Linked DNA regions of Nothobranchius furzeri. The protein of the gene in region 2 binds, or shares a complex with, the protein of the main gene of each other region. Links are inferred from orthologs where the notes say so. Each region holds a gene or a part of one and is shown on either strand. Other genes may lie near its edges.

What was found. The genes of interacting proteins can lie anywhere in the genome.
Region 1: the proteins of tfdp1a (region 2) and e2f1 are in contact, whole or in part, in a crystal structure (PDB 2AZE), measured with the Homo sapiens proteins. The link is inferred for Nothobranchius furzeri from reciprocal best matches to the Homo sapiens genes TFDP1 and E2F1. Residues at the interface, in NP_009042.1 of Homo sapiens: Glu201, Cys202, Leu205, Glu206, Glu208, Arg209, Arg212, Leu213, Arg215, Ile216, Lys219, Gln220, Gln222, Leu223, Leu226, Ile227, Gln229, Gln230, Phe233, Lys234, Leu236, Val237, Arg239, Asn240, Arg241, Glu244, Pro251, Ser255, Val256, Ile257; in NP_005216.1 of Homo sapiens: Arg202, Leu203, Leu206, Thr207, Asp209, Leu210, Leu213, Gln214, Ser216, Glu217, Leu220, Asp221, Leu223, Met224, Ile226, Cys227, Thr228, Gln230, Leu231, Leu234, Asp239, Ser240, Gln241, Arg242, Leu243, Ala244, Tyr245, Val246, Thr247, Cys248.
Region 3: the proteins of tfdp1a (region 2) and rbl1 are in contact, whole or in part, in a crystal structure (PDB 5TUV), measured with the Homo sapiens proteins. The link is inferred for Nothobranchius furzeri from reciprocal best matches to the Homo sapiens genes TFDP1 and RBL1. Residues at the interface, in NP_009042.1 of Homo sapiens: Pro260, Phe261, Ile262, Thr290, Phe291, Glu292, Ile293, His294, Asp295, Ile297, Glu298; in NP_002886.2 of Homo sapiens: Tyr1004, Phe1006, Asn1007, Ser1011, Leu1014, Ile1017, Asn1018, Ile1021.

Annotation. Positions count from the first base shown.
Region 1 is NC_091755.1:51,396,392-51,400,613, forward strand, and holds the start of e2f1 (transcription factor E2F1), read left to right. Parts: upstream 1-1,414; 5' UTR 1,415-1,529; intron 1,530-1,612; 5' UTR 1,613-2,492; coding exon 2,493-2,744; intron 2,745-3,478; coding exon 3,479-3,578; intron 3,579-4,222. Other genes in the region: znf341 (zinc finger protein 341), read right to left, coding at 398-508, 826-856. UniProt on the Homo sapiens protein: Transcription activator that binds DNA cooperatively with DP proteins through the E2 recognition site, 5'-TTTC[CG]CGC-3' found in the promoter region of a number of genes whose products are involved in cell cycle regulation or in DNA replication.
Region 2 is NC_091754.1:25,779,608-25,783,644, reverse strand, and holds the start of tfdp1a (transcription factor Dp-1), read right to left. Parts: upstream 2,808-4,037; 5' UTR 2,580-2,807; intron 1,324-2,579; exon of another isoform or gene 1,199-1,323; intron 918-1,198; exon of another isoform or gene 771-917; intron 449-770; 5' UTR 376-448; coding exon 364-375; intron 100-363; coding exon 33-99; intron 1-32. UniProt on the Homo sapiens protein: Can stimulate E2F-dependent transcription.
Region 3 is NC_091743.1:73,535,662-73,539,681, reverse strand, and holds the start of rbl1 (retinoblastoma-like protein 1), read left to right. Parts: upstream 1-1,212; 5' UTR 1,213-1,335; coding exon 1,336-1,497; intron 1,498-3,735; coding exon 3,736-3,869; intron 3,870-4,020. UniProt on the Homo sapiens protein: Key regulator of entry into cell division. Directly involved in heterochromatin formation by maintaining overall chromatin structure and, in particular, that of constitutive heterochromatin by stabilizing histone methylation.

The sequences.
Region 1 (4,222 bases), on a different chromosome or scaffold from region 2:
TTGCTTTAATATCGATTTCCTCTGCTACAAAGACGACATCCAGTTCTACCTTTCCATGCTCCCCTCTGATTTTCTTCCTCATGAAATGGGCATCATCGACCCGTTTCTACTCTTCAATCATTTTTAAAAGCTCATCTTTTAAAAAATCCATTTTGTGTCCAGCTGCATTTTTGTCCCTGCTTTTATTACGTTTTTTTTACCTTTGCTATTTCCCCTTTTTCTTTTATTAAAAAGGAACCTCGAATTGTATTATTATTATTATTATTATTATTATTATTAAAGTGGTTGTTGTCATTATTTTTATTTTAACCAACAGCCAAATGCACCTTGCCCTAAATAAATTATAAAAGAAAGCAATGACAGCCTAACTTATATGCTAGTGCGTCCTACTGCTTACCCATAGACTGAATAGTGGGCGTGGTTGACACATTTTGATTATTTGGGTCAGGAACTCCAGACTGGCCATCAAGCAGAGACTGAACAGCCAACACAGTCTGGTTGTCCATGCCTAGAGAGAGTGAAACAACAGAGGGGGGAGGAAACAATGCACGTGTTTACATTTAAAAGCTCTGCTTGATAATCTAGTAGCACAATAATAATCAACTACCTATTAAACATACGTAGTGTAATTAATCACCGTTATTGTTTACATGTACATACCAACCTAGCAGGGTGGTTTGATTTTTGTAACATTAGTAAACACCTATGCATAGTTTCACAATTATTTCCACATTTTAAAATGGCTCTAAACATGTTTATCTATAAAAAATATTTTCTGACATGTAAACATGTTGGTAGCTATGTAGTTAACAAAAATATTGCTACCTTCAAGCACCTCGAATATTGCCTGCGCCATCTTGCAGATTTCTGAGAGATAGGCGCTCGATTAGCAAGGGCTGCTACCTAAAGGACATTTCTATTCTGTAAATTCGACGAGATTTTTACGAATAATTCGTGTTTGAAAAAATATACTGTTCAATAGAGAGCTGCATAAACTGTTTATAATATGATGTGGACATTCCTGACAGTCTTAAAACAAAATAGCTAAAACATCAAATGTTTTAAATAGCATGCAAAATAAAATACAAGTCACGTAAGGACTTTAATTTGTAAGTTCGGTCACGGCTTTTCAATAACTAATATATGTTATTAAATGTTTAATATGTGACATCAGATCAATGTATCATTGATATGTTGATTTTGATCTAAGCGAAATGATTGTAAACGCTAGTTAGTTGAGGTTCTTCCGTGGAACCTGAACGCATCTTCATATCGACTAGTCTGTGCTCGTCTACATGACGGACACTCATTTACACCAATCAGAAAGCTCCGGTTTCTCTTCGAAGAATGTGCATCTTTTTGGCCAATGGCGAGCGTCAGATTTCCCCACGTGCAACTTTCGCGGCAAAATGGATTTCGCGCGAAAACCGACCAACGCTTGTTTAGATGTAGATCAGCTGGGACAATAACAACAATAACGGCTGATATCGGGCTCGGGTGGACACTTTCATGAGAGAACCGCAGCCCTGGTGAGCAGCTGAAAGTGCATCGGCGGCGGTTTTAAAGCATGCGTTTGTACTTTGACCGTTTTGTTTCGTTTTTTTAATTCCAGTTTTGTCTGACTGCTTCCTGCAGTGCCCCAACAAAACGAGGGGACTGAAGAACTGCGGCTAATGACTAAAGCTAACATGCTAATCTGCCCTACATTTCCACACTCAACATAGTAACTGTTATAAGGTCTTTGTTAGCCAGACGTTTTCATAAATACCCAATCAATGATGCTTTTGAGTCACGGCGATGCCGTTCGACTTCTCTGTATTTTGCTTTGTTAGCTAACTTTGAAAAGCTGATTTAAAGTTTCCGTAGCTTAACCGTTGTCCCAGTTTCGGATGTTTGGTGATTGTGGTAGTTTTACGGCTGGGAACGGCTCGTTCCGCGCCTCCTTCGAGAACTATTCCGAGGCTTTGTTGTTGAGCCATGAGTTAGCCTGCTAGCCGTGTCGGTAGCTGTGTGTTCAGGCCGCGGCCGAACTCTGCTGACAGGAGGCACGAAAACAAAAGATTTGCTCGCTCCGTCGCTGGCGTCCTTATGTTTAGCGTTTATTCAGACCCGCGGCAGGGTCTCGCGACCCTGTTTTAGGTGCTAATCCCGCGTTAGACCCTCATGGCGTAGAGATATTGTGCAATTTAGCAATGATCTGTCATTTTCCTGTTTGGCAGAACATCCAGTTTCTCCGTTCGGTCTGAAGTTGATTTGGCAAGTTCTGTTTATTTATCACTCTTTGAGTTAAACTGTAATAAATGTTTGTCTGTGAGGAAAACAACTTGTTCCAATTTGGGACGTTTGAGCATTTTTTACTCCTGCTCCACGAATTTACAGAGAACTACAAATGTCAGCAGGTGCTGATGTGCTTTTAGAGTACACCATCTTAGCCTGTGACCCCTCCCAGCACACCCAAAGACTAGTGAAGGAGCACTTGGTGACCCAGTGCAATGTCAGAGACTCTGATAACAGGGCAGACATCGGAGGATCTGTTGGTTGACTTTGAGACCTTGCTGAACTCTGGGAGTATAAAACTGGGCGAGGACCATCAGGTAGTCATCATCACCAGCCCCAGCAATGAGGGACTCCACCCTGTTGCAGCCCCGACCAGCACGGGGGAAATCCTGCTGTTCGCCACGCCACAGGGGCCCGCTGACGTGGGGGCCCAGGACAAGAGGCGGCCAGCTCTGGGAAGACCTCCGGTGAGGAGAGTGGGAGTGAGATGAGGTTAAATGAGAAGTTTCATGTCATATTTTGCTTTTTAAGCATTTTCTTCAAGGTGCAACAATAATTTTACTGTGAAATAATCCCATAACAGTCTAACATCTGAGTGGTATTGGAAGAACGGTTACGTTAAAAACAGATTTCCTTCTCAGCCGGCTATGGGGTCGTCAGGTTTCCTAGTTTAACTTAAAAACCAAAGAGGAAGGTAGTCTTTGTTTACAATCTGTCCCAATTCAGTACTTCCTGGTTCCAGAGCCAATCATACGTGCCCGCAGGTTTGCCAAGTCTGCACCGACATTTGTAATTTGACATCGGCCGGCATGATGCTGCGGCGTTGTGGAACAAAATGGAAGTCAGTAAAAAGAGCGACGTTATTTCATGTAACCCCGAAGAAGCCACGGCCTCTTTTTGTTGTGTTCTTAATGCAGAGGCTAACATTGAGCTAACAATGCTAACGGTGGATTACAAGCAAACTTCGATACTACAGCAAAATATATTTATCTACTCGTCAAATTACCGCGTATGACTCGTCTTTGCTCATCATCTAGAATCTTCTGGTGCCGTGCCGTAACTGGCAACAGTGGCTCAGAACAGACTCGTTTGTTTTGATTCACGGACTGCAGTACCCAGATTTGACCACAGGATGTCGTTCTGACTCCGTGCATCTTTAGGTAACACACAAATATAACGTATTCCATGCTTCCATCTTCAGGTAAAGAGGAAGTTGGACCTGGATAGTGACCATCAGTACATCAGCACCACCCAACCTCCCACGGGTCAAGCTCCGCCTTCTACGCCTGCTCCTCCCAGAGGTATGCACCCACAAACGCACTTTTGAGTTTTAGTATAGTGGATTTTTCAAATTTAAGGAACTGTGCTTTTCTTTAGAATGAAAGTAAAGTACAGCGACGACGAGCCTTAAAGGGACTTTACGGACTTGTGAATTTTTATGCTCATGATTGCCCCCTCAGGCCAAAAACGTAACAGCAGCTTTAATAGTAGGCTCGTGCACGAGGCGCGCATGCTGTACGTGCACACTCCTTAACGAAAGTAACAGCTGAGACAGTCCCGTGTGTGTGTGTGTGTGTGTGTGTGTGTGTGTGTGTGTGTGTAGCCCGGAGGACAGAGGACAGGAGAACGCGCAGCTAATTAATTAAATAATTTGGTTCTGTACCTTTCTCTTCAGCACAGCCGACAAAGGTTTAAGATGGGTCAGTCCTCCTGCATGCTCAGATCATTCCCTTCCCTTGCTTGAAAAATTGTTCCAAAATGAAACGTTTTTGGTTTTCTGTGACTTCAAATGCCGTTCGGCGAGTCTCAAATAAAAATTTGGGCATCTTACTGTAAAAAATATACCATTAATGTAAAAAGTAAACTCTAATTATACTATGTTCACATCCAGAATCAAACCCAGATCTTCTGCACGAGAGTCAGACGTCTTACTAGGTGAGCTAAA
Region 2 (4,037 bases):
AAAAACAAAGTCAAAAGATGGTTCAGTTATACCTTTGCTAGGGCTCAGATTCTGATCGATGAAAACCTTCAGCTCTCCATTTGTTTCAATCAAACCAGCCTGTAAAAGACAAAACTCATTATGCTGCAAATATAGAATATTAAAAATAATATAAGATAGTAGTGATGCAATAATGGATGCTTAAGTGTGCATATCTCCTTAAATTACACCAAATGGGTAATTGGATCATTTTGCAATTTGGGTTTATTGTCAAACATTAATGATGGTTTAGAATAATAGGTATGCTAAAACAACAAGAACCATCTCATCTGGCTACAAGATATAATGTGCATATGGATGAAAATATTGAGGGAAATTACTCACATCTTTAGCCATGATCCCAAAGGACCTGAAGGAGTTTAGTTCAGATTAAAAAATTGTTCCTTCTGTCACTCAAGTGTTCAGACCCCTGCAGAAGAAATGAAAGCTGTGAGCAAAAGTTTCAAGCTTCACTTATTTATAACATTTTCCTATAAATCCCCACGGCACAGATGGATTTGAATGAGCTTTTGCACTCATTTATGAACCCAGGCCCATTTCAATGGTTGGCTATGAGCACAGCACACTACACTAAGCTAATTCCATCATCATGTTTACTCCACTTTTTCCTCAGTTAGCAAAACAAACCTGGCGGAAATTACAGCTAATTGTACAAACCGCTGCGTCATTAGCCTTTAGATGTAAACACAAAAAAGCACAGTCAACCCTCACTTGATGCCCACAACTTTTACCAAGCTATGTGTGCACAAGGCCTACTTCAGGTACCGATCACGTCCGGAGGAGAGGCATCGTCCAACTTCTGCTACAGGTCACGAAAACGTGCCAACTTTGACGAAACTGTTGATTTTTCTCCACGGAGATTAAAATATAGTTACAGATAGTAAATCAGTCCACCACAGAAGCAGGTTTCACACCACATGTCAGTAATAATGAACAATCTTTTGTTGACTACAGCCGGCTAACCGTTACTGCTAACAGCCTGCTGCTCCTTAGCTTGCTAGTTAGCTTATGCACGTTTTCACACGATTGGCAGAAAATTCAGAGATTTCTGGTCCGAGCTGCAGATTATAGCCTTCTTTAAGTAAGAACTGATATTGGAAAAAAGCACTGCGCGTTTTGCACGATTAGAGGGGTTTAAATTGCGAATCCGTGCACTTACGAGTGCACTCTCTTGTCTCTTCGACGGCTGTTGTTGTTGGCATTAGAGAATGGAGGAAGAGGAGGTCTAAATCCCATCCAAACAGGAAACAAACTCAGCAATCCTAATGTACTTTTAAAACTATTTTATTCATAAATCAAAGTTATTCCTTTAAAGAACTTAAGCATATGATTAAAGAGTTGTTTTTCCTCAGGTCAGTTTTTTGTCGCTATGTCAAAAACTGATACCAGGATTTGCCTGTTGGTCGAGTCTGGCAGCTGACTAACCATTAAACATCATTCATCTCATCAGAGAAACTGATCACAAAAGCAAGCAAAATGAGCTGTACAACATTTTTGTCATGAATATAATGCACTAACCAGTTTTCAAGTTAAATTAAACCTAACATTTTAAAACTGCATATTATGGTAAATAAACAACAGTATGTTAACAGGTACTACATTTCAATTTAATAAACATACAACATAATGTGTGGATCAAGCCCATAGATTTGATCTACATTTCTTCTAAAAGGAGTTCATATTAAAGTAATTAAGTCAAAGAAGTGAATAAAAAACTATATTGACACCATTAATTCAGGGACCTGGGCCTGCAAAAGGAATCAGTTGAAATAGCAAATTTAATATATAATGTTAATCGGAAATAAACAAGTTATACAAATGTAAAGTAATTTTATATTTTGGGATTCCGCAATTATCTGCTACAACTGATCACATTCTCTTAAACGTTCTCAGTAGTTTTGATCTCATTCATGGGCCTCTTGGTCACAACAACCTAGTAAATCAGAACAAAACAAATCTAATTAATCGATATTTTAGCTTTTTGTGCAAAAAGTACACTTTTGAAAAAGTTAAAAACTTCATTGAAATGTTTCAAGCCAATTAATCACGCTTTAAATTTTTATTTAAATGAATATGTGGCTTAAACAAATAAAATTTGTTTATTTTAATTCGTTACAGTAAAAGAAAGTGAAAGCTCTTTCTACATTCAGATGAGTTACATATTTCAAACTTCATGTCTGCGGACTATTTAAACAAGTCCTGTTGCATATTCTGTTTAGTAAGTTATAACCGTGGTAATAGAAACCATGACAAGATCGTTAAGTAGATCGATGATCAACACTTCGCTAGTTAGCAACTGGTTATCAAAGCTACGAGCTAACTCGATATCAATGAGAAATCGCAACCTCCAGCGCTTTGTTAGCCCACTAGCTAGCCAGCAAGCTAACTACCAGCTGTCATCGAGAAAGTTTACCATTGTTAGCTTCGTGTGATATCAACACTTTTTCATGTCGACCAAGACATAAAGGCCGTTTAAACACTTGTATATGAGCTCTGGTCTGCGCCGGGTGGGAAGCCACCCTACAGTGGATGCATCTTACCAGAGCACTTCACGTTAGCACACCGTCAGCTAGCCTTTCCACGGCTCTCTGCTAGCCTGTCGCTTTCAGCAGTGCCTCTCACAATCTGATCTTGGCGGCGTCTCGCTACAGCGGCGTCTGATTGGACAACACTGGTGTGACGTAACCATAGCAGTGACGTGAGTCGTGCCCACAACCTACTTCTCCTGGGATTGGTGGAGAGCAGGCAGCTGCAGGGATGCATTTACCGCCATCTGTTGCGCAGGAGTAGGAGGAGGATTTTTCATTAGTCGCTATTATATCTACCAGGAATAGTTTTTAGGCCTGTCACTTTTATTTCCTCTTTAATTCGATTGAAAAAAATACCACACACCACACTGAATGATGCCAAATTTCAGCTGATATATCTGAATAGAATAGAATAGAATAGAATAGAATGGAATAGAATAGAATAGAACAATCCCACAGTAGGGAAATTCACTTGTTACAGCAGCACCAACACTTAAGAGAACAATTTGATTTAAAAAAATAACAAATACATTTGCATACAATGTATACAATTGGAAGGCTGCCTTTCCGTGTCTTGGCCCATCACTTGGTCAGATTATCAATGGGAGCCTCTGCACAGGTGTGGTCCCAGCTGCTTTGAAAGCAGCAGTTATTCGGCCGACCCTGAAGAAACCTTATGCTGATGTCTATGTGATAGAAAATTACAGGCCTATCTCTACCCTGCCTTTCACATCAAAACTGCTTGAGAAAGTCGTTTATCAGCAGCTGGTCTCACATTTAGCTGACGCTGATCTGTTTGAGGTTTTCCAATCAGGGTTCAGGTCTGGCCATAGCACAGAGTCGGCTCTACTGAGGGTCCTAAATGACATCTATCTATCACTAGATCAGGGTACATCTGTGGTGCTTCTGTTGTTAGACCTGACGGCAGCCTTCGACACAGTTGACCACGCGATTCTACTAGATCGCTTGGAACGATGGGTTGGGATCAAAGGGTCTGCTCTGGATTGGTTTGGATCTCCACAACAGAACATTCTGCGTTAAACTGGGTGATGTTTTTTCTTCTTGGGAGGGGCTCCGCTGGGGGGTCCCGCAGGGATCGATCCTTGGTCCTCTTTTGTTTGCCATTTATCTGCTTCCTCTGGGGTCAATCTTTCGTAAACATGGCCTATCATTCCATCTCTATGCTGACGATTGCCAGATTGATGCTCCATTGTGTCAGGAGAAAGGTCACTATATCCAGTCCTTTGTGTCCTGCATTAACGAGGTGGAGTCTTGGCTAATGGCCAACGTTCTGCATCTGAATGAGGGAAAGACAGAGCTCATTGTTTTTCACCCCAACAGCAGGAATGTGGATCGTCATGTTGATCTTGGCCCTCTTTCTCCCTACTCAAAACCAGTTGTCACCAGTTTGGGGGTGAAAATTGATGCTGGACTTAAATTTGATGCACACATCAACTCTGTGATCCGGTC
Region 3 (4,020 bases), on a different chromosome or scaffold from region 2:
TGGGGGTGACTTTCTCTTTAAACTAACTGTAATATTTAAACAATAAATCATTTGAAGTTAGAAATAAAATAGTTTAAAGCTGGTTTTAAGGGTGTGTTTAGTCTTGTAATAATCAAGTCTGGTAACTTTCTACGTATGTTGGGTTTAGCAGAATGCTACTTTAGACCATCGGTTAGAGGTTTGTTTTTATAATGAAGACTATCACAAATTTGGTGGTGTTGCTGTGAACATCCTTTATGCTGTTATTACACTATATTTTTAAAAAGATGTGGTTATGGGTTTGACTTTATTGTCTCTTAATTCATCAATAAACTGAATCTGAGCAAAAATGTTTTGAGTTTGTGTTCATTCATTCTTTTAAATGGACAATGTTCCATTTACTATAAAACAACCAAACATGTCTTATATAAATAATTATTTTACTTTAAATTAAGATAGCTTGTGTTATATTTATGGGTTTTTAGAGGTTTTGCAACCGGTGGATCTGGAGCCACATGATTCTAGAAATGCAAGTGGGGGCCAAACAAAAGCACTTCAAGAGCTACAAATAGCCCCCAACCTGCAAATTGGACATGGAGAGAAAAATAGATATGTTGTTGGTGTTTTTAACAAAGTTTTTTTAACAGTGTTTTGAGCATTGCTGTTTTTTTTTTATTAAACAGCTATTTCATTAACATTTTAGAGTATTAAAGACAATAATTCTTGGCAGGCTCTGCAGTCTGCATCGTTCTAAAAATTGTATTTTATAGGGTATACTACATAATATGTTAACTCATTCCCTTTGTAGACAACAATAGGAATAAGAACACTTAAAAGGTCACCTTGTAACATTCGTTTTATTCTAAGACTCAATCCGATTTTGTGGATTGTATTTTGTAAAAAAAAAATCACTTTTTTAAACCTTTGATTAGATGAGCAGGAATTCTATAATAACAGAACACTGCCCTCTGCACGTTAGTTAACGAATTGCTACCAAATTGTTATTGCATACTTCTTTTCTCGACTTCTCGGCATATTTTGTAATTTTACTTTTTAAAGTTAATTATTTCAGACAGCTGTAACTCCATAAAAAGGTGGTTTTAATTAGGAGCGACCTCCTGAAGGAGACCGAGAGGGGTAGGGCAAGAGGGCGAGAGGGCTTCGCATGTCTTGACTTTGATTGGTCAGAGCAGCAGGGTTTTCGCGCCAACGCACTGCATTGTGGGAACTGTAGGCGGAAGTGGGATGCTCGTGGAGCCTGTTTGTTGGTGTTTGGGAGAGGGCAGCGTTTTGCTGGTTAACGTCTGGCTCTGGGGGTTGTTTAAAACTTGATGCTGTAGCTGTACATTGGAACGAATGCGGGGTGACGAGTCGTCGGACTCCGAGTCGGGCAGGATGGAGGAAAGTTCAGTCCGAAGGAGTTTGGAGACATTGTGTCAGGAGCTGAACATGGACGAACAGACCGCTACTGAAGCTATGGACAACTTCACAGCCATATGGAACACATACACTCTGGAGGTGAATAATGTTCTTTAATAACAAGTTACTGTCGAATTAATCAGCCACAACTTTCATCCTACATAGAACTGGATTTCAGTGCTGACACACACTGAGATTAAAGGGATTCAACAACTGACCTGTTTTTAATCTTCCATCCAGGAACAGAAACATATTGTCGAGCAGTCGATCGACGGCATTTGCAAACGTCAGACAAAACCGGACAAAACAAAACAATTATTTTTAGTTTATGACTGACTGATTATTAACAAATATTAAAATCCTCCTGAAATTACATAAGAATAATAAAAAATAATCAAATTGAAATATTTTTTCCAGGTAAAATATATTTTACCGTAAAACAACTATGACTGTCTTTTATTTGTGGTAAAACCATGGGTAGAACATGGTAGTGACATCTGAGTGAATAATAAATCCGTTTTATTTAAATGGATCGGCTTTATTTAAGGTCTGACCAATAATAACAATGTTTAAGATTTCTTTAGTCTGATAACAAAGCAGCAGATGTTCTTTTTCAATTAATATCAGTTTTATTGTTCATACATACTATTGACATCTTAATTAAAAGCAGTTTCCTTTTAACATCGTATCAGAAATCACTATATAATCCTGATTTTTGTTGTTCACCCTGATTAGTATCAGAATTGTTTGTTTGTTTGTTTTTGCCTTTGAATCCGTGTGACAGGAACATAGACAACTGTAGTGCAGTCAGTTTGAAGCATCGTCTAAAATGACGGGACATCAACAAAAGTTGTGCAGTGTTTGTTAGAAGACTTCTGTCTGAGGGATGGGTGTAAACACTGATTATATCCTCAGGGGTCAAAGGTGATTCACGGAAAGAAACGTTCACACAGAGAGGTGTTACAAGGTTATTTTATTCAAAACGATTCTAATCCTAATCTAGGTACAGATTATGAAAGATTAGTTTGTACCTGACAATTTAACCTCCTACAGCTAATGATGCTAGTTGGCTTTGTTTACATCGTTACCTATTAATAATAATGCATTTTATTTAAAAGCGCCTTTCTGGTCACTCAAGGACACTGTACAGAATAAAAACACAAATCATTCAATAAGTAAACATACGTAAACATCAACAAACAAGGCTCTCTAAAATTCAAAGTTGATATGTGGTAATGAAGAGGTGGGTTTTGAGTTGTTTTTTGAATTCTGTGAATGAGTTAATGTTCTTGATGAGAGGGGGAAGGGAGTTCCAGAGTTTGGGAGTGGTGCCGCTGAAGGCTCTACTCCCCATGGTGCTGATACGGAAGGAGGGCACAGAGAGATGAATGGAGGAGGAGGACCTGAGGGAACGGGACGAGGTGACGATGTGAACGAGATCTGTGAGGTAGTGAGGGGCGAGGTTTTGGATGGCCTTGAAGGTGAGAAGGAGAATCTTGTAGTTAATCCTGGTGTGCACTGGTAGCCAATGGAGTTGTTTGAGGATGGGGGTGATGTGATGAGAGATGGGAGTTTTAGTGACGATGCGTGCTGCTGCGTTCTGGACCAACTGGAGCTTACGGAGGATTTTCTGAGGGAGGCCTGAGAGAAGAGAGTTGCAATAATCGATACGCGATGTAACCAGACTATGGACAAGAATAGAAGTAGAGTGGACATCAAGGGAGGGGCGAAGACGATTAATGTTACGAAGATGGAAATAAGCTGACCGTGTGATGCTATTGATATGAGATTGGAAGGATAGTGTGCTGTCTAGGATGACACCCAGACTCTTGACCTGGGGAGAGGGGGAAACTGAATTAACCTCAAATGATTCAGTTATGCTTTTAAACATAAGGCCTCTAACCAAACAGATGCTCCGTTTATCTTTGAGTTTATCTGTCATTCAGAAATGGTTGCTTCTCTGATTTATTAATGAAAAATATTTGTTTGAGAAATTGACCTTCAAAAATACTAATAGTCTGTCTGTATTATAAAAACATATCTCCAATAGATGATAAAATGCTAGTCGTTAAACTCTTCTGAATTATAAATAATTGGACCATTCAGCTGTCTCATTAATTAAAGATGGCAGAATTTTGCGTGCAAAAATCAAACATAGTAATTAAAATGTGCACATAGGTTTTCAGTCATGTTCCGTGTAGTTCTGTTTGCTGTTTCTGCAGCTATTCTTGTATCTGCTGAGTCGCTCTGTGTACTGGAAATAGTGGAGTATTAGTTTCCCAGTTTGCTGTTTATGCTGAGTGAAGACAATTAAAGTGATTTGCTGTTTGTCTGCAGGGGGATGTGGTCCACTGGCTGGCCTGCTCGCTGTACGCTGCCTGCAGGAAGGGGTCCATTCCCACTGTGGGAAAAGGGCTGATGGAGGGAAACTGTGTCTCGCTCACCAGGATCCTTCGCTGCTCCAAACTCAGGTTCAGCGCTATAAACACATGTTTTGTCTCTACGATCCTTATTCTGGTATCTCTGTGTTCTGGTTTGTTCTTAGGGGTTTCTAGAAAACAAATGCAGTTTTAAATAGGGATGCTCTTATCCGGTCCAAGCTAACGTGTCGCCTCAGGAGAG